Arabidopsis thaliana: one gene and its partners. The protein of the gene in region 1 interacts with the protein of each later gene in a pairwise test. Each region holds a gene or a part of one and is shown on either strand. Other genes may lie near its edges.

Evidence for each region.
Region 2: the proteins of MKK7 (region 1) and DRNL interact in binary tests that used the Arabidopsis thaliana proteins (3 or more experiments, as listed by UniProt).
Region 3: the proteins of MKK7 (region 1) and STP2 interact in binary tests that used the Arabidopsis thaliana proteins (3 or more experiments, as listed by UniProt).
Region 4: the proteins of MKK7 (region 1) and AT1G35560 interact in binary tests that used the Arabidopsis thaliana proteins (3 or more experiments, as listed by UniProt).

What each region holds. Positions count from the first base shown.
Region 1 is NC_003070.9:6,311,319-6,317,238, reverse strand, and holds MKK7 (MAP kinase kinase 7), read right to left. Parts: upstream 1,604-5,920; 5' UTR 1,554-1,603; coding exon 630-1,553; 3' UTR 501-629; downstream 1-500. Other genes in the region: AT1G18360 (alpha/beta-Hydrolases superfamily protein), read left to right, coding at 1-243; AT1G18340 (basal transcription factor complex subunit-like protein), read left to right, coding at 3,505-3,535, 3,659-3,747, 3,829-4,111, 4,381-4,427, 4,621-4,658, 4,745-4,790, 4,890-4,943, 5,028-5,096 and 3 more; AT1G18335 (Acyl-CoA N-acyltransferases (NAT) superfamily protein), read left to right, coding at 5,913-5,920. UniProt on the Arabidopsis thaliana protein: May function as a negative regulator of polar auxin transport. Positively regulates plant basal and systemic acquired resistance (SAR). Activates MPK3 and MPK6 in vitro.
Region 2 is NC_003070.9:8,712,031-8,717,982, reverse strand, and holds DRNL (DORNROSCHEN-like protein), read left to right. Parts: upstream 1-2,604; 5' UTR 2,605-2,673; coding exon 2,674-3,594; 3' UTR 3,595-3,618; downstream 3,619-5,952. Other genes in the region: AT1G24577 (uncharacterized protein), read left to right, coding at 4,998-5,225. UniProt on the Arabidopsis thaliana protein: Required for correct embryo patterning and cotyledon organogenesis. May positively regulate the gibberellin signaling pathway leading to germination, hypocotyl elongation, and leaf expansion.
Region 3 is NC_003070.9:2,250,440-2,257,350, reverse strand, and holds STP2 (sugar transporter 2), read right to left. Parts: upstream 2,530-6,911; 5' UTR 2,479-2,529; coding exon 2,346-2,478; intron 2,264-2,345; coding exon 1,944-2,263; intron 1,782-1,943; coding exon 1,155-1,781; intron 1,056-1,154; coding exon 639-1,055; 3' UTR 501-638; downstream 1-500. Other genes in the region: AT1G07330 (dentin sialophosphoprotein), read right to left, coding at 3,766-4,128, 4,236-4,996, 5,083-6,220. UniProt on the Arabidopsis thaliana protein: Mediates an active uptake of hexoses, probably by sugar/hydrogen symport. Can transport glucose, 3-O-methylglucose, xylose, mannose, fructose and galactose.
Region 4 is NC_003070.9:13,114,460-13,120,922, reverse strand, and holds AT1G35560 (TCP family transcription factor), read left to right. Parts: upstream 1-3,687; 5' UTR 3,688-3,798; coding exon 3,799-4,824; 3' UTR 4,825-5,097; downstream 5,098-6,463.

The DNA of each region.
Region 1 (5,920 bases):
ATCCTTAGACTTGGTGCTCATTTACTGCAGAATCTGAACAGAATCAAGGTTCCGTTTCTTGTGATGCACGGCACAGCTGATACAGTTACTGATCCTAAAGGTACTCAGAAGCTATACAATGAGGCTTCCTCATCCGATAAGTCGATCAAGCTGTACGACGGGTTGTTACACGATCTGCTCTTTGAACCAGAACGGGAAACTATAGCTGGAGTCATATTGGATTGGCTAAACCGGCGGGTTTAAATTCCTCAAACCAAATGTAGCACAGTTCCTTACTCCTTAGGTAATATAGAGGGATATGCGAAAGACATAATCAATAGTTCCTCTGTTTCTGTCGATTGATCTCGACACTATTTTGACATTACGCACACTTTTATTGTAATGAATATACGATGTTGTAACTCTGTTAGTGGTCATCGTAACCATTTCTTGTATAAACGATACTAGATTTATATTTTGTTGATAGGGAGATAATCATAATTATATATGGGGTTTATAAGAATATGAATCGTCAGATGAATTTCAATAGAGCATATTTCTGATCATACAAAAATTCTACAAAAAAATAATAATTGCGATTTGGGTCACCCGGAAAATATCCAGACCCGTAATATCACAAGCAGTCGGATCTAAAGACTTTCACGGAGAAAAGGGTGACCGAGAAGCTGCGACGCCGTCCACCTCTCACTCGATTCTTTACGGAGACAACAGTCAACAAAACTCCTAAACTCGTCGGAACATCCTTCCGGCGCACGCGGTGGTTCTCCAAAGCACACGACGCACATTAACGTCGCCCAGTCAGGTCTCTGTCCCTGAGGAAGCAACGGAAAATGTCCGACGAAGAGCTCAAGTATCATCACTCCGAAACTCCAGATATCGCCTGCGTAAACATCGGAGTTTTCTCCGGCGGCAGAGTCAAATCTCTCCGGGCTCATGTAAGCGCAAGTGCCGACGTAGGAATTGCAGTAATCTAACGATCGGGTAATGATTTTGCTCACTCCAAAATCAGCGATTTTAACTTCGTTTCTCGAGTTTAAGAGTAGATTCGCAGGTTTGATGTCTCTGTGAACGATCTTGAGTGAGTGGAGATAACTTAAACCTTTCAAAATCTGGCGGGAAAATCCCGCTAGTTGTTTCTCCGTAACGGCGCCGCGGAGAGATTCTAGGTTTCCACCGTCCATATACTCCATGAGGATCGAAACCTCTCCGACGATTGGTTTCTCGAAGATCCCTTGACACCTGACGACATAAGGAGAATCCGTGCGACGGAGGATCTCCATCTCGCGCGCTAATTGTCTTGTGAAAGCAGGACTCATGTCGCCGTTGACTGATTTCAGAGCGTATATCTCCCCCGTGGTTTTGTGGTGGACTTTGTATACGATCCCGCTGCTTCCTCTTCCGAGAACGTGGAGTTTCTCGACATCGGAAGCTGAGATTCCGTTGTTGATGACGGGGGCGGTGGATGAGGCAAAGGAGAACCAGGGGAGGTGAACAGAGAGCGGTGGGACAGGGAGACGGAGGTTGATTTGACGGCGTTTACGAACAAGAGCCATGGAAATAGAAGAGAGAGAGAGAGAGTGATGATGGTGATCGAAGAGTGATGGAAGTTGCAGTTTTTATATGGAGACTTGAGTGGGATTTAAGTGAGGAGCCTGGGAAGCTAATAAATCTTTCCATTAAATGTTAATCACTCTTTTTTGTTCTTTATCTTAATTATTATTTGTTGAGTTGTATCTAAAAATGGCAACTAGTGTGTCTACCGTTTATGTTTATCTTGCACGAGGTTAAATGCATGGGACTGCTATCTGTCCTACTTACCCGGAACCTGGCTATAGTGGCTTGTGTATATTGAGATAAATCTACGCAATAATGATTAGATTTATATACATTTAAAGAGTTTGTTTTAGTGATTTTGAATGGTAACTCAATTATCAAAGTTTGTTACAGCCTGTATCGTGATAATTACAAATTACAAAGGCGTTATAAAAGCGTTACTTTTAACGTTTTGCATTAATGATTAGATTTATATGCATTTAAAGAGTTTGTTTTAGTGATTTTGAATGGTAACTCAATTATCAAAGTTTGGTACAGCATGTACCGTGATATTACAAATTACAAAAGCGTTATAAAAACGTTATTTTTAACTTTTTGTACTACTTATTTATATAGTTTTGCATTCTAATTTACAGCTAAAACAACTTTAAAGCTTTGTGTTACCTATCAGAATCGTTATCTTCACATTCAAACACATAATCCATTGTTGTTGAAAAATAATAATACTTTCAAAACATTTATTTTAGTGATATTAATTTGACTTGATAGTAAGATTATTATTTACTCATAAAGACATTGGTGGAATTTAGTTATATAATTTTCATATACTAAACTATAGGAGATTTTAAAGTTTAATGTGAATTTGTGAGGTTCAATGTACCTCGGAGGCTAAGGACTTCTAATGAAAATGACCAAACAATAAGTTATATTTAGGCCATCATGCAAAAGCTTTCCAATGGCCATCGCCATTAATATTGCCAAGTTAATTATTAATATGATTTTAGTAAAAACTATGATTAGATCTTCAGATTCTTAGTGGACAGTCACACATGACCCTACGGATTACAAGTATTTAGCATGTCGATTGTCATGCGCGTATATATCCAAAGAATACTGAATAAAAATAATATGAAGTCAATCAAATGAATAACAATCAAATTATATGAAGTCAATCAAACCTTTATGAATGTGATTTGCTTCTTTTTCCAACCAAAAAACTTGTTTGTTTATTTGTTAGTTGTTACTCCCAAAAAAATGTAGTAAGCTTTTTATGCCCCATGTATTATATATCAAGACGATCTCCAAACATGACTATAGTTTCATAGGATGGATTGGATATCAGGACATGTGTGAATTTACTAATTTTTAGTATTGAAACAAACAACATTTCAACCAAAATTTTTTACCATTAAAATTAATATATCGACGTCCGATAGTATAAAGCTTGAATAAACTGAATTTCGTATCAGTAGCCAGTTTGAAAAATAAATTTGTTCCTTGAGATTTTGGTGTTCTTTTCCAAAAGAAAGAACAAAGAAAACAAAAGGCCCTTGTAAAAGGCGGTTTAGTTCATAAAGAAAACTGGGCCTATCTAAAAATTTGAACTAATGCCATATTTGGGCTTAGTAAGCCCGGCTTACGATACGACGTTTATAGTCGGATCTGATTCGGATCCAAACCCGTTTGATGGATCCGGCTCCTACCAAATCACTTCAGATTTCTGTATAAGCTAAAAATCCTTGAATTTTTCAGTAAGTTACTATAGCATCCGAGAATTTCATTCTTTAACTCTGGTTCGTAATCGGAAAACTCAAAGACCTGTTGTGAAGATATATTGGAGAAGAAAAAAAAAACGATTTCCCGGCACTGAAATAGCATTATCAGATCTCGTTCCCACCGGGAAGATTTCCCGGCACACTGAAATTCTGACTTGGAATCGTCTGTGAAACTATGCCTGCCATTGCTTCTAAGCAGTATTCAGGTTATTATTAAATTCCTCTTACTTCGAAACCCTCACATTCCTCAATCGTATAAGTATGTAGATTAGATATCCCAAAAACTGGAAACAAGTCTGATTGGCTCGTGATTGTTTTTTTGGTCGCAGACGATGTTAGTCTTCTAGTTTTGTTGCTTGATACGAATCCTCTTTTCTGGAGCACTACATCGATTACCTTCTCTCAGTTCCTTTCTCATGTAAGTGTCTCTAACGAATCTATTGTTTGTTTGTTCAATGCTTCGATTTTTATGCAGAAAGCTTGCTGCTGTTATGTGTAGGTGCTTGCGTTTCTTAATGCGGTTTTGGGGTTAAATCAGTTGAACCAAGTTGTAGTTATAGCTACTGGATACAGTTCTTGTGATTACATTTATGATTCGTCTTTGACATCAAATCATGGAAATTTCGAGAGCAATGGAACTGGAATGCCTGCAATTTTTGGTTCTTTGCTTAAGAAATTGGAAGAGTTTGTTACCAAAGATGAGGAGCTCAGCAAGGAGGAAGTGTCTGAGGATAGAATACCTTCTTGTCTCTTGTCAGGATCACTCTCCATGGCTCTTTGCTGTATCCTCTTGGAAAAGCATATAGCATCATGATAGGTTTCTTGAAGCTATATATAGTACAAACTATTAGGATTTGTTTGCATAAGTTCTGGCAGTGATCTTGAAGCTTAGCTTTCTCTCTAGACTGGGTTAAGTAAGGAACATTTTAGGTTGACATGTTTGTTCTCAGCTAAACCTATAGCATGTCTAAGGCCATCAATGTTATCTGGTAATATATGTATTTGATTTTCAGTCTTCACATTTTGTTGTTGACTTAATTTATGGCTCTAGATATACAGAGGGTTTTCCGTTCTGGACATCTTCATCCCCAGCCTCGGGTGAGTGTTCAGTAGGATATATGTATCAATCAGTTGTCTTGGATAAAACTTTTCATGTTGATTGCTTTGTATGAATCTTCAGCTTAAAGTATTAATGAGAATATAGACTCCTTTTTCTTATGTGTTATCTGTTCTATCGTATACCCCCAAAATACAGAACTGATTGTGCTATTGACGTTTATATGAAATACAGATTTTATGCTTGCAAGGTTCCCCAGATGGCCCGGAACAGTATGTTTCTTCCTTCATTTTTTTTCTACTTGCAAGATTTTGTCTTGTTTGTCTGGTCTCATTAAAAGGTTTTGTCATTCTTTCAGGTATGTTGCTGTTATGAACTCTATCTTCTCTGCCCAACGCTTGATGGTAATCTTCATTTTGATTGGTTCTTTGGGATTTCCGGTTCTTGATGTTCTCTAAATCCAGTATCATGTACCCAAATCACTTCATCAATTGGTTCTTTAGGTTCCCATTGATTCGTGTTACATAGGTGTACAGAACTCAGCATTTTTGCAGCAGGTAATATCATTTCTCCTTTATACATGATTCTAACTCGTCAAACTGGACCTATGCGTCAGCTGTTATCTCCTGGCTTATTTGTAGGCATCTTATATAACTGGTGGTGTACATCATACACCTAAACAGTTGGATGGGCTATTTCAATATCTAACGGTACGCAACTCAAGTCCAAACGCAAACCATTATGTGACTCGTCTCTCATTTAGCGAACTCAATACTCAATGGCTGCTAACTCTGGATTGTTTTGTTTTGCACAAAAGACAATCTTTGCAACCGATTTGCACTCCCGCGGTTTTGTACAACTTCCTAAACCCATAGGTGTAGATTTTCGCGCATCGTAAGTGATCAAGTCATTAACTCTTCAATTAATCGGGTCTTCCTCTGCATATATAACAGATGGTTTTAAGTACAAAATTTGCAGGTGCTTTTGCCACAAGAAGACAATAGATATGGGCTACATATGCTCAGTGTGTCTGTCCATTTTCTGTGAGCATCACAAGAAATGTTCAACCTGCGGGTAAGAGATTTGACCCGTCATGTTCTTTCTCAAGATAACAATCTATCATGTTGTTTGATACTAATATCGAAAAGCTTTTGGAAATTTGCAGGTCTGTATTTGGTCAGTCTAAACTTGATGATGCTTCATCTGCCTCTGATAAGAAGAGAAAAGCTCCTAGTACCTAAAATCATCTTTTGTGCCAGAGAGAAACTGCAAACTTTGTTTAATTGTGTCTTTGCGTTCATTTTCGATAATTTTTATACCATATATCAAAGTGAAATCAATTTTGCAAAGTTTTTGACTCTTTTTTTTTCCTTGAGATAGTACCCGTTGACTTGAGCAAACAAAACAAAAAGGCCTCTAATAGTCCATATAGAAAGTTGGGCTTCTCTATCGAATTTGAACGAATACGACATTTGGGCTGACGTCATTTATTATTGTCGGATCTATTTCGGGTCCAAACCCGTTTGATGGATCC
Region 2 (5,952 bases), 2.4 Mb from region 1:
AAAAAGTCAAACATAATATATTGTTTATATTGCCATTGATAGAGAGAGAGAGAGAGAGACGCATTGTGCAGAGAAAAAACCCACGCGTTTAGAAGAGAGGCGACAATTCTGGTATCAACTTTAATGTCGTACCATTGCATGTAACCTACTTTCGTAGCTTTGCCCCTTCATTTTTGCCTTCCATTTTCTTCTTTTATTACCAGACATTTCAACTCAAGACCAAAGTTATAATTTCATTTCATCTAAATGTAAAGAAACTATTATGGGAGCCATGGACCGTTATGTTTCGGTCAAGCTCACATTTAATTTACTTCCTTTGTAAGATATATTTTTTTTGTAACCCAAAATATTAAAATATATAGTACTTAAATAAGTTACATAAAAAAAAATCTTTAACTAGAATGCCTCTTGAGCATAATAGTAAATATATTTTTGAGGTATTATAACCCCTATCACATAGCACATTTATTTTTTGAATTAAATAAATTAAGATTTTGGGTTCAAATAGCACATTTTCACATTCTCTCATTCATTTAATTCTTTTATGTGGATATATTGGGAATTTCTCAATAATCTATATCATGTAATCAATAGTGTTCACCACCCTATATTTTTTTTTTCACTACTCCACCCTATATATTTCAAAGCTATGATAATACTTCTTTTTTTTGTTGTCATAACTCATAAAGTTACAAATTAATTCTTTGTAGTTTCGAAAGACGGAAGCATGCATCAAAATAGAAATATAGGATTTTCTTTTCTTAACAGTTTTCCCGTTTTCTCCATCTGACAAATTGACGTCCATATCGTTTAGGTTTAGAATATTAGTCTGATTTCTATGAATTAAAGATCTAGCTAGAGCCGATTATTCAAACTACTTCATGAATTAATCTTCTGTTGATATGTTGTACCGTGTACGTACAAGTTGATACCACCGTTATATAGGTTCAAGTTTTCCACAAATTTCCACATTTTTTAAAAGTGATTTCGATTCCTTACAAACTGAGCTCTGTGGTGTTCAGCTTCATAATCCACTAATTCCACAAGGAGCTCACGACTTCTCTTCCTTCAACATCTACTGTTTGTAGACATGATTTGCCAACGTTTTGTTGAGGAAACATAGTTTTGTTTTTGTTTGCCTCACATATTTATTCCATTTTTTTGTTTGTTATTTTTTTCTTTTCAATCTGCATATTTTTTCGCGGCACAACCTAAATGAAAAAAAAATTACATGCAATTAGATATGATTGTAAATCGTTATATATATAACAACGGCAAAATATTTAGACACTCCTAAAAGACTTCTGCGTTGATATATTTTTTTTCTCCTACGCGATATATGTCAATAATTACGTGATAAACATAATAACATACGTGATAATTGCATGCAACCCTTATATTTAGACGATTGATAATTTTTTCTCCTAGGCGTGATAAAACTTTTTTTGACGGATTTTTTTTTTTTGCATTCAACCCTTATATTTAGGGCTCGAATATGAATGGAGCTTTACAGACATTAATTGATCAAGAATGTGAGAGAGATTTAGATTATTTTTTATGTAAATGCGAAATTACATTAATTATCAAACATATATATACGAAATTAGTGGTGGAGATTGATTTCCGTAAACGCAAAGGGTCATTAGTCACAATCGAGCTACAGTAGGAAAGCCCTAAAGAGGCTACACCATGAAGAAAGAGCCCTAGTTGAGACAAATCCACGTGACTTTGGTTTACAGATTAAAAAGCAAAACCCTAAATAAGCAAATCGACCATAATCTCGTAAAAAGAACAGACAAAACACAACCTCATGTAGAAGGAACAATTTCTGCGCGCCGCCAGTGTTATTAATTCAGAATCATAATTTCACGATTTTCAACCCTCTCCTTTTAAGCTTCAACTCCAACATCATAATTTTCCCTTCCACAAACTACTGTATAAATCACTTTTAACTCTATTGCTTATTATTATTACTGTAATTCATTATTATTATAAATTAATGACCATTGATTATTTCCCAAAACACAATTAAAGAAAAGTGCGTAAAGATTAAAGAATAATATGACCAACGGAAATAGCTGAAAACGATGACCTTTGAATTTGTTCAAAAATAAATGAAATCAATGATTTTATAATTTTAATTTGTAAATTGTTCAAGAAAGTTTTCTGAAATATATTCATGTCTTTCACTTAAAACAAAAGAATAAATCGACCTTTAATCAACAGTATCAAAGGACCTTTATACTCTGACAATAAGAAAGAATGGTGCAAGGGTTAAGATAAAAATAGTACATCATAATTATGAATTTGTTACTTGTCAAAAAGACATGAAATATGTAACTTATAACTGCTTTTATGCAAGTCCGTAGAAAAGGAAAAAGAAAAGACATGTAAGTTCGAACGTGGAACAAGAACTTCGTTAAACGTACTTTTGCTTTCTGCATCTCTCATAGATTCACAACTCACAAGTCAATAAAAGATGCAATGCAAGTCCATTTTTTTAAATTATATATTGGGTCAGGTCCATCTTAAATTAAAAACAATAAAAATGTATATTTTATTTTCTATAAATACGTAATCAGCTATCATCACATTCAGGTGCCTCACAACCCTAAGACAATCACAGAACAAAAAGAAAAATTCTTAGCTTTAAAAATTTCCCTTAGGTCAACCATGGAAGAAGCAATCATGAGACTCGAAGGTGCCGAGCACAGAGAAACCAACATCCATTCTTTGAAAAGAAAGCCATCAAGAACTTCCTCGACAGCTCCTGGCTCTCCCGGAGGAGTAACTACCGCAAAAGCTGCCTCCGGCGCCGGCGCTTCCGGTGTCTCTACGATAAGGTACCGAGGCGTGAGGCGTAGGCCATGGGGTCGTTACGCAGCTGAAATACGGGACCCATTGTCCAAGGAGAGACGATGGCTCGGAACATTTGACACGGCCGAGGAAGCAGCTTGCGCATATGACTGCGCCGCTCGAGCCATGCGTGGTCTTAAAGCTCGAACCAACTTCGTCTACCCAATGCCTTCTCTCGACTCTTATCACCACCGTATTTTCTCGTCTCCTCCAATGAATATGTTCCTTCTACGAGACGTGTTAAACTCTCAGTCTCTTTCTCCGTTAACCACTTTCGCTTACCCGCCTTGTAATCTTTCTAACGTAAACGACGTTGTTCACGAGTCCTTCACTAACGTCAACGATGTCTGTGAAGATCTCTCGCCTAAAGCTAAGAGGTCAAGTACCATTGAGAACGAGAGCCTGATATCAAATATCTTTGAACCAGAACCAGCTAGTTCTGGTCTTCTTCAAGAAATTGTTCAAGGCTTCTTACCAAAACCTATCTCTCAACATGCTTCTATACCTCCAAAGAGCAACCAACAGTCGGTTGGTGTTTTCCCGACGATGCCAGAGAGCGGTTTTCAGACAGATGTTCGTTTAGCTGACTTCCATGTCGAAGGAAACGGATTCGGTCAGGTTAAATATCATGGAGAGTTAGGTTGGGCTGATCATGAGAATGGGTTTGATTCAGCTAAGATGCAGCAGAACGGAAATGGTGGAATGTTTTATCAGTATTGCTTTCATGATGATTATTAGAATATTGTTGTTGTTCTACTTTTTACGTGCTTATCACTTCACAGTTTCTTTAGGGTTGTAAGAAATGAGGTTAAGGGTAACTAACTCAAATCTTTTGTCTTTTAATTTTTCGTCTAGTGCTATGATCAATTTATCTCTATGTTTTAGCAAAGAACAATTTTTATCTGAGTATGAGCGAAGTTAATTAATTGTGTATGACATATGTCGGTTATGAGCAAAGGTAATAACAAAAATAAAGTAAAAATACTCGAGGTGCTGGATGAAGACAATACCTAAAGGACAAAAATATATATCTTGAACAAATTAAGATTTTTTTTTCTTTTCTATAAGTTGACTTCAGAATCATAAAGACAGCCTTTGTCCTCTTGCTTTTTCTTCTTTCCCTTTTCCCTCTCAGATCACCGTAAGGGCATAATTATATTTAGGTTCACAAAATCCTTTGTCCATTAAAGTATTTGCACCATCAAAACTCAGTAAACATATACTTAAGGACTCGAATTTGCATCAATGTTTATAACCCTTATTCAAAAAAACCATATCCCAATTATGATCTTTAGGGGTACTCTTCAAGTATCCAAGAGATCTTCTAAATATTGGAATTTCTAGTGGATGTGATATGAACGATGTTGGGACTGTCTTTAGTTTTATATGATCACATCAGTCTATATTAATTTTTATTTTAAAACAAAACATTATATAAAAATATATCATAAAATTATTCAATTATCGATATTCATTCAAAATAAAATCATAACACTTATTTGAATTTGAAATCTCGTTGTTACTACAATTCTATATATAGAACTATTCTACCAAATATTAATTGAAAAGATTATATTCATTTAAATATGAAATAGAAGTTCAGTGCTCCTAGCTCATATTGTTTTCCTCTATATTCAATGCGCTTTGTATATAACAAAAGTTTTTTTTGCATTGCACTGCATTTATATAGTATTATACACATTTATATATATATATATATATATATATACATTTACATTTACAACATTTATAAAAGTATATATGTATACATATATATAAACAACAACATTTATAAAAGTGTATAATACTATATAAATGTATACACATTTACAACATTTATAAAAGTGTATAATTGATGAATGATGGAAGTCATGATCATGAATCATTAACCATTAGAAAGTGACTTATGTGGCTTTTGGCCTTTTGGTTTTGGGGATAGAAGTAGATGAAACATCATGAAAAGTTCAAGGATACAGTTGGTCCTTGATGGACTCCATCATCATTCCCGTGATGACCATACAAAAAGAAAAAGATTTGTTCAGTCTTAAAGCTTCTTCAAATAATAAAATGATTATATACACACAATGAGGTATACCCTCTTCGTTCATCATTGATTCCCCTTCTTCTTTAATATTCACATTATGAACGACAAAGGAAACATGGAGACTGAAGCTTCCATAGCGGCGATGGGCCTTGGGGGTCTGTCCCGTCAGACCAGCATCACTAAGACCATTTGCATTTGCTCACCGACCACTCACCCGGGGTCATTCAAGTGCAAGCTTCACCGGACTCCTTCGCTGCAGCGTAACAAAAGCGTTGAGACTAACATTCTTCAAAGTCTCATGACAAAGCCAGATCATTCTAAGTAGACACTAGGAAGCTTAGGGTTTGTTTTTGTTTATTCTTTAGAGCATTATGCTAGTGACCAAACAAGGTAGTAGTTCTATTCTACTTTCTGTCTCTACGTCTTGTAGTTATTGGTTTTATATGTGGAAGGTTTCTTTCATCTAGAGTATGCGTAAAATATTAACATTTACTTTCTTCTAATCTCTAATAAATTGATTAATAAAATATAACTTTCCAACTTATCAATTTTGACACAATCTTTCAAATGTTAAGCTATGTCAAAAAATGTTTTTCTTTTTCTTGATATTATACTTGCGCCTCAAGATGTTGGCCTTTAAGGTGTTTCAAAGGGCATTACAAAGCAAATCTGATCGGATCTATGAATGTGTGAGGTTGCTACTGGTCCAACGTTTCCAAAATTTTAAGCGAAATGTAAATTTTAATCTTTAAAATAAACAAATCACAAAATAATATTACAGAAACAATAGAAAAAATAATGTCAAAACTTCATAAAATCAATCTCTTAATAGAAACACTCTGATTCTTATAAAAAAAGTGGCGGAAAAACATTTTGTGGATGGAAAGTAGTCTGATAATTGAGTGGTATCATGAAAAGTATTTGAAGTTGGGTACTTTTAAATTTAGACTCTCATACATGGGCTTATCTCTCACCTATGATATGGGCCGGTCCGGGCCAGGTGAACCTAGTTGACACATACCTGCATGATCACTTTTTGACCAAGCAACAAA
Region 3 (6,911 bases), 4.1 Mb from region 1:
ACAAAATTTTGTTTTAATTTTTTTTTTTACTTTGTCTTAGCTCAAATTATCAAAACAATAAAAAATTGTCTTAACCTTTTTCTGTTTTTCAACATTTTACTTAATTATATGTAAAACAAATTTACGTTTCTTTCCCTCTGAATTATTTTCTAGTTATATTTTGTATTTCATACACCTATGTGTAAGTGGTATAAAGAGTAAATTTAACTTCTTCTTCTTTTCAACAAGAGTAAATTTAACTTTAAAACTAAAAATTACATGATTTTATTAGTGATATATATAGTTGTTTTTGAATAGTTAATATAGATTATATTGATATGCACAAATCTCTTAGTGATTTGTCCCACTTTATTAGGAATCTTAAAAACTGAAGTTCGAGAATATTGTCGTTTGCTTAGACAATTCAATCCCCAAACTATAATTGTGCCTGATTATTTGAATACCAGAACTGAAAATATTAAACTTCTCCAACTGATTGATAAACATATCCAACTGAATCTTTAACAATTCGAACTACAAACTTAAAAAAATAGCAGAAAATAAAAATCAAACCCTAGCTAGAAAAATTAGAAAAGGTTCAAATTACTAGTTATTAACTAGGGACCTTGGGGAACAAAAAGAAAGAAAGAAAATGAAATCTAGTCTTTGAAATATTTCTTCCAACGCGGGTGCGTTTTCCAACGCTTCTCGGCCATTTCCTCAATAGGAACACCTTTGGTTTCGGGAAGAAAAAACACGACAAATAGTCCCATGATAATGTTCATTATTCCGAAGAAGAAGAACAATAATGATCTGAATCTGCAGAGAGCAGACAAGAAGAACTGTCCAATGATGAAAGTGCAGACCATGTTCATCGCCACCGCACAGAAGTAACCAGCATTTCTCACTTCAAGAGGGTAGATCTCAGACGGAACAAGCCATCCCAATGGACCCCAAGACCATGCAAATCCAGACACGTATACGCAGATGAGGATCAATACAATCAGCGGCACGGCATGGCCAGTAATAGGACCAACTAGCTTCAAGTGAGCTAAGAGAATGCCTCCAATTGTCATCTGCGTAAGATGATCAAAAAAAATACAAGTTAGCTTGTTATCCAAGTAAGAATATGTGTACCATGTGACACAAGCAAAAAAAAAAAAAAAAAAACTAACCTGTGTAGCGGTCATCTGGAGAGCTCCTTCCATCAGAAGACACCTTCTACCGGCGAAATCAACCACTAAAAGAGAGATAACTGTAGCGATTGCGTTCACACCATTGGTGACAACAGTAGAGATCAGAGAAGCGTTGTCACCACTACCCATCGTCTGGAACAAAACTGGAGCGTAGAACATAACCACGTTGATACCGGTGAACTGTTGAAAGAACTGAAGTAACGTTCCACACACCAATGGTGGTCTGTTCTCACTCTTGGTGAAGAGTTCTTTGAATGGGCTTTTCACCTTTGTCGCTACCTCTGTTGCGTATTTGATCTCATTGAACTCGAGCTCAATATCTTCAATGCCTCTGATCTTCCTCAGGACTTGCTTCCCCTTTTCGTCTTTACCGCGCTCGATGAGACTAGCCGGAGTCTCGTGGATAAAGAAGGATCCTATCAAGAGGATTAAAGCGGGGACAGCAGCACCACCGAGAGAATATCTCCAGCCGTTTTTCAACGTGGAAGTTAAGTAGTTCACATAACTTGCTGCTAAGATTCCAATGGTGATGAGAAACTGGAACATGACGTTTAGTCCTCCTCTGTATCTCGCCGGAGCAATCTCTGAGATGAACAATGGAACGGTCTGCAAAAGTATTGCTTTCAATGTTAATAAACAAAACAAAACAAAACACGATGAGTTAAGGCATAAAAACAGAGGAAACCCTAGGTGAAAACAGAGGAACCCTAGATGAAAACAGAGGAATCCACTGAGATAGAAAAACGTTTTGAGGGTTTGACATGATACCTGGTTACCGAAACCGATACCAAAGCCGAGAAGAATACGACCACCGATCAACATGCCGAGTTCTTGGGCAGATAAGTTGAGGATAGCACCGACGAGGAAGAAGATGGAGGCGAGCATGATTGTGGGTTTTCTTCCAAAAGCCCTAGAAACATAGGAAGAAATAAAGCTAGCGAAGATTCCAGCCAAGTAGAGTGAGGAAGTGAACAACTGCAAGAGCTGGTCATCGAATTTGCAGTAGTTGTTTTCGTGTACTCTGTGTTTCTTCTCGTACACGTGTGGGAAAAAATCTAACAAGAAAGTGTCCATACTCGTTACACCTCCTGCAAATTTTGATCACCATTAATTGATATCACTGAAAAAACAGTCAAACCCTAACAAACAAAAACCAATAGAAGAACAAACCTGAGATTCCGATGTCGTAACCAAACATGAGACCACCAACAGCAGCAATGACACAGCAAAGAAAGACTTGACCTGTCAGCTTCGCAGGAAAAGCTTTAGTGCCTTCTTCGACATTCATCGAACCAACAGCCATTGTTGTTGATCTCTTAGCTTCTTTTAATATTTCTGACTATGTGGTATTGAGGATCGTAAATAAAACTCAAATGCCTAAGAGAGGAGATGGGGTTTCTTTTATAGATGAGTGTGAGGGTTTTGGATAAACTAAGATTTAACAACTGAATCTTTTTGAACGAATTTTTCTTCTGACTCGATCCTGTTTTATCTGAGAATAAATGTGGATAATTACTGATAAGATATATGTGTTTTGATATTAAGATATTATCATTTAAATAAATAAACAATTAAATCGTTTAGATCAATATCGAGATTAAGAAATAAAAACTCTTTTTTTTTTAAGTAAAAGATAATGACGTTTGATCGACACAATAATAATTTTTTATACGACATATATGATCTCAGAGCTTGGCTTTTGATTATGTAATATTTTTAACATTCATATAATTACACAAGCAAGTCTGGGTAGAATATTTTTCCTATAAGAAATGAGTGTGAAAAAAGTTTTGGATAAAATTTAGACAAAATTATCCGCATGGTCATTGCATGAAAAAGAATAATAATCTACACCTATATAATCGTAAGAATTATAAGTATTTGTTATTAAAAAAAAAAAAAAAATTCTTGTTATACATTTTTCAGCATGGATAAAATTTTATCCAAATGTTTTTTTGGACATCATTTATCCACATTTAAAAGCAAATATTAATCCCATGAGAGAATACGAGAAAAACGCAGATAAGTTGATATACGGTTTTAAAAAAAAAAGGTGACCACTTATATTAAAAGGTAAAATTAATTGGTCATTAATATTAAAAAATATTTAGAGCTTCATAATCAGGAGAAGAGTTGTTGTTGTTGTAAAAAATTTTATCTTGTTGATAATCAACGATCCTTTATTTATTTTAAACTAAAAGAGAAAGTAATTTACTAAAATTTAGAAATAACCAATCATTATCAGATTTCCCATACTATAATACATTAAACTTTTTAAAAGACAACATAAATTATATCTCAGTTATCATCAAACAAAATGATGATCACTTCACTAAATCAAATTCCACACATTAATGTTCAACTTTAGCATATACATAAAATTTAGCTAGGGAACCTAAATCCTCTACACTGCATAAGCCTGAATTTGTTGAGTGTTCAACAAAAGGACAATGGCATCTAAAGAAGAAACTTCTTCTCTAGCTTCTCACTTGCCTCAGACTATCCTTGTTTTAGAAAACACACGTCATCATTTTGTTAAAGGTACATTTCAGTTCAAGTACTGTCATTGAAACTGATCTCTGAGCACACTTCATCTACTGTTCCCATCAACACCTGATTGATTCTGTGGAGATTCCGGATATGGAATCACTGGCGGAGGTTGACTATCTAATGTATGTTCCAAACTCTCAGAAGTCAGAGTATAAGTCTGGTCTAAAGATAACAACATGTCTGGTAACACTGATCTTGGGGAAGTAGCAGACTCGTCTGATGTGACATTGTTCACATTTGAAACTTCAGGTTCCACAAGTTCTTGCAACTCTTGAGTTGATTGGTCTCCATCATTTCCCCCAAAATGTTCTTGGGGTTCTTGATTTGTTCTTCTTTCAAAGGCTTCAGGTTCATCAGAGTCATCATTTATCTTCATCTCATCAGTCAAGTTTTGGACACGTTCCTGTCATAACGGTACAAGGAATATATTCAAATTCAACATTTTGAGAAACACATTGCAAGTAGCAATCATATTTCCATAAAACCTGACAAGAACAAGAACTATATAACCTCTTCTCTTCTCGAAATAACTTCATTGATGTGAGGAACTGTTGACTCTTCATGTATATAGAATCCTTTGTCTGAATTTTCCAGTGGAAAGCGTCCGGATTTTGAGCTCTCTTCTTCCTCAGATCTTCCGTTGATATCAGTACCATCAGACAGACCCTCAACTTGTTTGGCTACATAAGTTTCTGGAGAGACCTTAGAAATCGTTTCATTTAAATCTTTATCAACTTTCTCCACTGGTAACATTTGAGTTTCTTCAGTTCTATCCACAATGCTCTCCTCACCACTAAATCCCGTCTCCTTCCCAATGTCTGATTCGTTGACAATACGTGATTTTTCTTCATCAGAAGAATTATTCCCATCAACTGTAGTGGGAGGTGATCCAATTTCAGAAACCTCAACTTGAAGATCAGATTCTACAGATAACTTATGACCTTTTTTTGAGCTATAACCAAAATGCTCCACGTATCTTTGCCTTTCCGCTGCTAAAGAACTCGAAAGCGAACCAGTGTTTCTAGGAACTAAACCAACTAAAGGGTTTTCAACACGAAGATCACCATTTCCTTTCCCAGAAGTTCCAGAAAAATATGCTTGATTTGAGACATCAGAATTCATTTCCCTGTCTTCAGGAGAAAGCAATGAGTTTGAATCACTAACAACAATCTCTGTCATGTGTTCTGACTCCATATCATTTACTTCTCCTCTTGTTAGATCTTTTCCTTTCATTACAGGATGTTTCTCCCCAACCAATCCATCATTGCTACCTACATGAGCAAGGATCAGAATTGTAGAACTTAGAATCATTTACTTTGTAAGCTACAACATTTTTCAGAATGACAAGAGGATGTACCTTGTTGTGGTATTGACTTCTTTTTCCACGGTTCCCATTTCGTGTCAAGCTGATTGTCCAATGGAAAGACTCTGCGACAAAAGCTTTCATGGCGGCAGAAGAAGATATCATTAGGGTTGGCTGCAAACTCTTGCTGAAAACTATCTCCTGAGAGGTTAGGCTTCTCTTCTTGTGGATCATAAGGAATATCAAAAGGGTTTTTAGTTGGTAATAACACAGAAGGTGCAGATTCAGGCATTTGAAGACCATCAACTATATAGTTTTCTTGATCCAAACCGAAATAGTTCCGTCCAACACAGACTGGAGGAACTTCCATATCCATTAAGCTACTCTCAGCGGCAAGTCGGACTAATCTCCTCATTCTTCTTCTAGTAATCAAATGCTCTAACCTCTTGTTACGTTCCATCTCAGAGTTTCCTAAATCCATCAAATTCTTTTGATCATCCTCTGTCCAAGCTACAATCTTTTTGTCTTCACGTGTAGTTTCTTCTTCTTCTTCGCCTTCTGATGACGATGAACACTCGATCTCGGTTTCGCCACCACCACTAGTCAACCTCTCCGATGGATCCACAACGGAAACATTCCCGGTGGTTGAAAGAGTTTCTTCATCTAAGCTAGGCTCAAAGGAGAAACCTTCAGACACAAGAAAGGCTCCATCTTTCTTGAATTTCTGAAGTTTGGGAGATTTTGCAGTATTGGGAATTTCACCATAGAGAGTTGTTAAAATGACTCTGTCTCTCTCATCTTCACTAGCCTGAGAAGAGTCCCAATCTTTCCCAACCTCTTCAACTTTCCTTCTAGCGTTTCGTCGAACACTTCGTTGGTGCTTTAAGTCAGCCTTCCTTGTTTCTTCCTCCTCAGATCTCTTTTGGGAAAATGGTGAAAACCAATTATCCGTTTTGATATGCAAAAGCTTAAAACTTGGATGATTCCGAAGATAAAACACAGAGCATGCGATTAACGGAGAAGAGTAAAGGACGAAATAAAAAAGGCGTGGAAGAAAAATGTATAGGAGGAAGATAATTGCAGAAACACCAGAAACAACTGGGTGATTCCTTACGTTTCTATAAACGATGTTCGTGGAAAATCTGAGAATTTTCCAGAACAGAGTTCCGACATCTTTGGCATCGATTCCCATGTTTTAAACAGTTCAAATTCTCAGAACACTTTGAGAGATAATAACCCAAAGCATTCTGTCTATGGCGGTTTGTGTTTTGTCCTAGAGAATCAAAATGCTTGAAAGGGAAAAACAAATATGGTTTAATTGAAGAAGCGAAAATTGATCAATAAGAGAGAGGTCAAGCTTTCATTTGAAACAATAACCAGTCAATAAAAAATAGATTTTTCAAGGGTTTTTTTAGATTTTCGTTTTGGTTCTTTTTCAGTTTTCAGAACACACGGTAAGGACGGAGAAGACAAAATAGAAAACTGGTAAGAGAGGGCGGGAGTTAAATTAGTTGCTTTCTTACACATGTTTCCAAAGATTCTTGTTTTCTTACACTTTTAACCACATTTTTTACTGGTTCAGAAATTGACCCTTAAAGTTCATGGATTTTGCATCTCATATCTCTTTCTTCAAAAGATTGGGCTATCTTCTTAAGCCCACCAAGACCCATCAAATGTCTGTAAATAACATACACTATTGACACTTCCTAAGTTTTCTAGCTAATCCTTTTTTTTAGCAAGTTGTTAACAGATTTGTGTGAGACTATTCATGATTTTCAAAACCAAGATGAACATCAACGCTTAAAGCTTATAATAGCCACTCTTTCTTGTTAACTTGATGACTAAAGTCAATCTTTGTTGCTCAATCTTAACTGATACACACA
Region 4 (6,463 bases), 6.8 Mb from region 1:
GCCGGCCTTTTGGTATGGCACAACAAACTGATTTTCACGTGGTTTAAGTTTCTCCTTTTGGTAATATTAATACACGTGGTTTAAGTTTCTCCTTTTTTCTTCAAAATGTACACCATTTGACCGTTAAGTCAACATTTCAAGTTTTCTAAGCTAGCTATTTTACACCTCCATTTCTCACCGAAGCAAACTCTATTTATGACATTCCAATACACCAGCATATAATGTTCTCGACGAGGATTCCATCATGTCCAAAAACTGGTTTTCTAATTAGTGCTTTCACCGGAAAATCTACCAGAAAAAGTGGCTGTTAACACATTTGAAAACGGAGTAAGATCGTCAACATTTTTTTTTTTTCTTTATAACTTGTGAATATATATTACCTCGAAACGAAAAAGTTATTTACAAAGTCAGAAGACAGACATGCCCAAACAAAATTTAAAAGCTAAATTTGAAATACATTTAACTGAAACAGAAAAATTAACTATGGAAGAACCATTGAGACAAGAGTCTCCCACAACATTTCATGCAAAGACGAGTTAGAAGATTGTCAATATTAGTCACATGCTATGAGAGAAGGAAAAACAAAGCATTGAAAAAGTATTCTAAAATTATCGGAGGAAGAAATATTGAAGTACGATGTTGTAGGTGATCGGGGGCAAATTGATCTTGGAATAAGTAAGCATAAAACAGTAGCAGAGGCTTGGGAAGGCTATAGACAAAGACGACACAGATCTACTCACCTTCAGGCCATAGAAACAGCTCTCTTACAACAAAGAAACGATAGAACAGAGGATGAGGACATTGTTCTTTGGAAAGGTAAAAATGACGTATATAAGCCACAGTTCTTGACTAAAGAGACCTTGAATCATATGCGGACCATATCCATGGACGTTGATTGGTATAAGGGTGTTTGGTTTGGTCATTCCACGCCAAAGTACTCTTTTTGTGTTTGGTTAGCAGTTCTTAACCGACTCTCAACAGGAGACAGAATGACTCATTGGAATGGAGGTCAGTCAGCCGCTTGTGTGCTATGTCACAACGCTCCCGAAACCCGGGATCATCTCTTCTTCTCCTGTGACTTTGCTTCGATAGTTTGGAGTAACTTAGCAAGAGGAATCTATGGAGACAGATTTTCTACACATTGGCAAGACCTGATACAAGCCATCTCCGGCTCTTGGATGACACCGCTTGACAGTTTCTTTGCGCGATATCTCTTTCAAGCCACGGTACACACCATTTGGCGCGAAAGGAACGGAAGGAATCATGGAGAGAAACCAAACTCAGCAGCTCTTTTAATCAAATGAATAGACAAACAAACTCGGAACCAGCTTTGTTCGATCAAAGCAAGTGGAGATAAGAGATATGACAAGGGCTTACAAGCTTGGTTTGCGATGAGAGAATGAGAAACAATTTTTAGATTGTATTCTAGTTTTTGCTCCAGTTTTTTCAACAAAATGTTGCACATAGATGTAAAAACGCTATTTTTTTTTTGGATTTAATTTAACATTACATTAAAAAAAAAAAAAAAAAAAGTACGATGTATATCACAAGATTATAGAAATACGAGATTCTATGTATCTAGGTGGTATCAAAGAGAAGTGAAAGGTTGAGGAAACTTTTTACAAGAAATGTAAAATGGGATGAGTGAAATTAAAGGGAATGAAAGAGAGTAGAATTGTTTTTTGGATGAGAACTCATGAGATCATACCTACACACAAGACCAACCCAAAGCTAAAACCTGTAAAGCATGGGCTTTTTAGGCAGTAGATGATTCTAAAACAATTTAAAAGCACCATTTTAGAGATATATATGGTCGAAGAGTGATTAACACTTTCACTCTCTCACCATTTTATTTTATTTTTAACGTCTTGCCTACACATTTAAAACATTAATTGGTTGATACTTTTATACTTTTTTAAGCAATTAAAATAATTTATTTAAAAATAAATGTATATAAAAAAATATTAATAGTTTATTTCTTAGATACTCAATGAGTCTCCATCCAATGAAGGTGCTCTAACAGAATCTTGAACAAGGCTACATACTATATGGTCTTGTAAATGAACATTTTCACTTTTTGGAGAGAACAGAGACAAGACAATGGACCGTGGGAGGATCCAGAGTTTCAGACCAAACATCACGTTTTTTTATCACTCGCTTCTTGTACTTCTTCAACTATCTCTGACTGTTTTACTGTTTTCTTTCACTGCTAATGCTTACACGTGCATCTGTCTCAACAATTATTTTTCAGGAAAATAAAAAATAAGAGAGATTATATATACAGTTCAAAATATAATTGCATATATATATATATATATATATATAAATTATATAAAATATACTGTTCAAATATAAAGTTTTTTTTATAGTGGTTTGGTTTCACTTTCATTGTTATCTATAATTTAGCTCACGGTGCGTACATGTAACTTACATTAAGAACAGCCAAAAAGCTCAAGCTCGTGTCCAAATTAAGATTCCGAATGGTATAGCTAGCAATATAATATATTATATGGTTTTGGATTGATAAAAACATAAAACCTAATAAAGGAATTTAATTGATATAAAAAATGAAACAATAATACAGTCTAAATATTCAATTATGAATTAAAATATTGCAATAAATCAGTTAATAGGCATTAATACTAATATGATTATACATACATGGTTAATCACTAAGAGCAACGTGAATATCAATAAACTAATTGATTTACTACGCTTGCATAATTATTTTCCTTAAAACTTTTTGATTTCGAATACTTTGTTAACACCCTGATACATGTGCATATAACATAGTAGGCTGAAATTGGACTATTCTTAGACAGTTTTCACATCTAGAATGAGATGTATAGGTTTCGTTGAGAAAAATTGTAGTTGAGATGATTAGTTATATATAACCTATGTCTGTGGGTGCTAATTTGGCAGATGGGAAAAGAATTGAAGCCTTTATATATAGTCTTCAATTATTAGTATCATCGTTAATAAAAACAGTGGTCCTTATCTCTCAACAAGTCTTTCATCAAATTCGGATAACAAAGACAAAATAGAGAATCAAAGAAAGAGACATTTGTGTTATTATCAGTAAATTATTAAAAAAATAAATAATATTAAAACACTATTATATTGGGTGTAAATTGGCTCTATGATTAGTGATTAGTTTTTTTCTTTTCCCCCATAGAACATTCAACGTTTCCCACCCATGCAAAATCCAACCTAAAAGCCAAACTTTATAAGGAAACCAACAAATAGATCCCTACAATCTAAAGATTGCAACAAAAATGCCCCAAAATTATAATCTTAGACAATCCACACCTTTTTCAATCATGTAAAACACTTCCAAACTTTTCATAGTCCATTGCTAAAAATAGTTTTAGTCTCACAAAGTTAGACCAAAATTCAATACATTCGGCGCATAATTATTTTTATACTACAATATAGTAAGTGTGATAATAACCAAACAAAAAAAGGTTAAGTGATCATTTGGTGTGGAAACAGCAAATATTGGTCTCTACTCTCTACTACAAAAACCTAGTGGGACTACAAATGAAAATAAAACACAAAAGAAAAAGAAAGTGAAAGTCTCTCTCTCTTTTCTACAAGCTGCTTCATCTTCTTCCTCTCACTCTCTCTTTCTCCAAACAAGTAAACAACAGTCAACACAAACTCATAGCCCCACCAGAAAAAAAAAATACTCCAAGAATTTATAGGTTATAAGTAAAAATTCAGTACAAGTTTGTTTGTTTGTTTATTCCATTTTCTTGTGTGTTTTTTTCCCCATAATTTATAAATTTTATAAGCAATATGGAGTCCCACAACAACAACCAGAGCAACAACAACACCACTGGTTCGGCCCATCTGGTCCCATCCATGGGACCAATCTCCGGTTCAGTCTCATTAACCACCACTGCTCCAAACTCCACTACCACCACCGTCACCGCCGCTAAAACACCCGCAAAACGACCGTCCAAGGACCGTCACATCAAAGTAGACGGACGTGGCCGGAGGATACGTATGCCGGCTATCTGCGCAGCACGTGTCTTCCAACTAACACGTGAGTTACAACACAAATCGGACGGCGAGACTATAGAGTGGCTGCTCCAACAAGCGGAGCCAGCTATCATCGCAGCCACCGGAACTGGAACCATACCGGCGAATATCTCTACTTTGAACATCTCTCTTCGAAGCAGTGGCTCTACTCTTTCAGCTCCACTGTCTAAATCTTTCCACATGGGAAGAGCGGCTCAAAACGCTGCCGTTTTTGGGTTCCAGCAACAGCTTTATCATCCTCATCATATCACGACAGATTCTTCTTCTTCTTCTCTTCCCAAAACATTCCGTGAAGAAGATCTTTTTAAAGATCCTAATTTTCTAGATCAAGAACCCGGTTCAAGATCACCTAAACCGGGATCCGAAGCTCCTGATCAAGATCCGGGTTCGACCCGGTCAAGAACACAAAATATGATACCGCCGATGTGGGCACTAGCGCCAACGCCAGCCTCCACAAACGGAGGTAGTGCTTTTTGGATGTTACCAGTCGGAGGAGGAGGAGGTCCGGCTAACGTTCAGGATCCATCACAGCACATGTGGGCGTTTAATCCGGGTCATTACCCGGGTCGAATCGGGTCGGTTCAGCTAGGGTCTATGTTAGTGGGAGGTCAACAGTTAGGGTTAGGTGTTGCAGAAAATAACAATTTGGGGCTATTTTCCGGCGGAGGAGGAGACGGTGGTCGGGTTGGTCTCGGAATGAGTCTTGAGCAAAAGCCTCAACATCAAGTGAGTGATCATGCTACTAGAGACCAAAATCCTACTATAGATGGTTCTCCTTGAAAGACTTCATGATTTCTTTGGTTTTTAAAAAGTGTGAATGTGTGATTTATTGCAACTTTTGTTGAGGACTCCAATGTTAATATGGGTTTTAGGGTTGGCTTTTCGGGATTGCCAAATTGTTATTTAAGAAAATGGATTTATTGTTTTGGTTGCATAATAATTAACGAGTTTTGCAACTCTTTTTATTCGATGCAAAAGCATGTCACTTAAAGGAAATATAGTTGAATCTCTATGTGTAACATAATGGACAAAAGAATAAATTAAATATTTATCAGAATGCCTTTTCTCTTTTGTTGAAGGGTATAATTGAATACACCTTCTTTGACCGCTCATATATTTCAAATATTTCGAATTGATTGCAGTTCGTAAAAAGCTAACGAATATAAATAAAAAATTATATGGTGTAGACTGTAGTGATAAACTTTATTGGGTGCATGAGCACCACATGTTTGGATACAAATGGGTTTTTAGATTTATATATTAATTCTCTTTTAAAATTCGTATTTTGTCTATCATACTTTTGTAGTATCTACCAAAAAATTGTCCACTTGTGGAGCAACATGGACACGTCAGAGAGAACTCCTATGCCACAGTAAATTCCAATGTGTTTGAAAAATAGGCTGGACGGGTAATCAGGCGAAATGCCGTTTTTAATGTGACTAGGGGTTAGCCCGGATATATATTTTGATAATTGATATTTTCAAGTTAGTTGATATAGTTTAAAAAAAATATTGGATTTGATTTCGGAAGTGTATATAATAGATGGTTTATTGGGATTTTTATATATTTACTATTTTTAATATATTTAAAATATATTAGAAATAATATGTTATCATGTCAAGAAGAAAGAATATGATTTATTTTACTTGTGATTTATATATCTATCATATATGGGATGTAGAAGCATGCTCCTAACTTAAGCTTTAGCAAGTTACATATTAACATAAGACTTGTTACATAATTCTGACCAATTACAATTGCTAGAATACGTGTATCAGTAATATTTTAGAAAACGTTAACATGCAAATATAAAAATATTACTTATCCTAACTTCTGTCTTTTATTAATTCGTGTATTGACTATTTCATATTTTTTATTTATCTTTCTCTCGTATTACCAATGTCAAAGCGGAGTATTTGGCAAGAAAAATTCGTGTCAAACCGCTACATATTACCTATATAAACAATTTTCCGCAATCTTGGTTCATCTGAACTCTAAATAATATCTGATGACAAAAAATAAAATCACTCTCAACATTCTCTTCGGGAAAAATGTCATGTAATCATTCAACTTTAAAAAAATGGCCATTTTATATAGGAATTTCATAGTAAGCTATTTTAAATATCAACTAAATGTTGACTGCCATATTAAACATGAAATTGCGTTGATCAGACCAATTTTGACATGACGTTAAAATGTGATTACGGAACCACTAAAAGCCGATATCAGTCGTTAACTATTCTGTAGTCATGTGTTTTGGTTATTTGTATTCTTTTTATTTTTTTTTGTCTTAGTTTTGTTGTGCGTTAACGATTGATAACAGTTGTTAGTGGTTATGTTAGTAGATTTTAAAATCATGTTTTTTTTGGCCGGGTCAACATTTAGTTGATGATTAAAATAGCCTTATACGAAATTCATG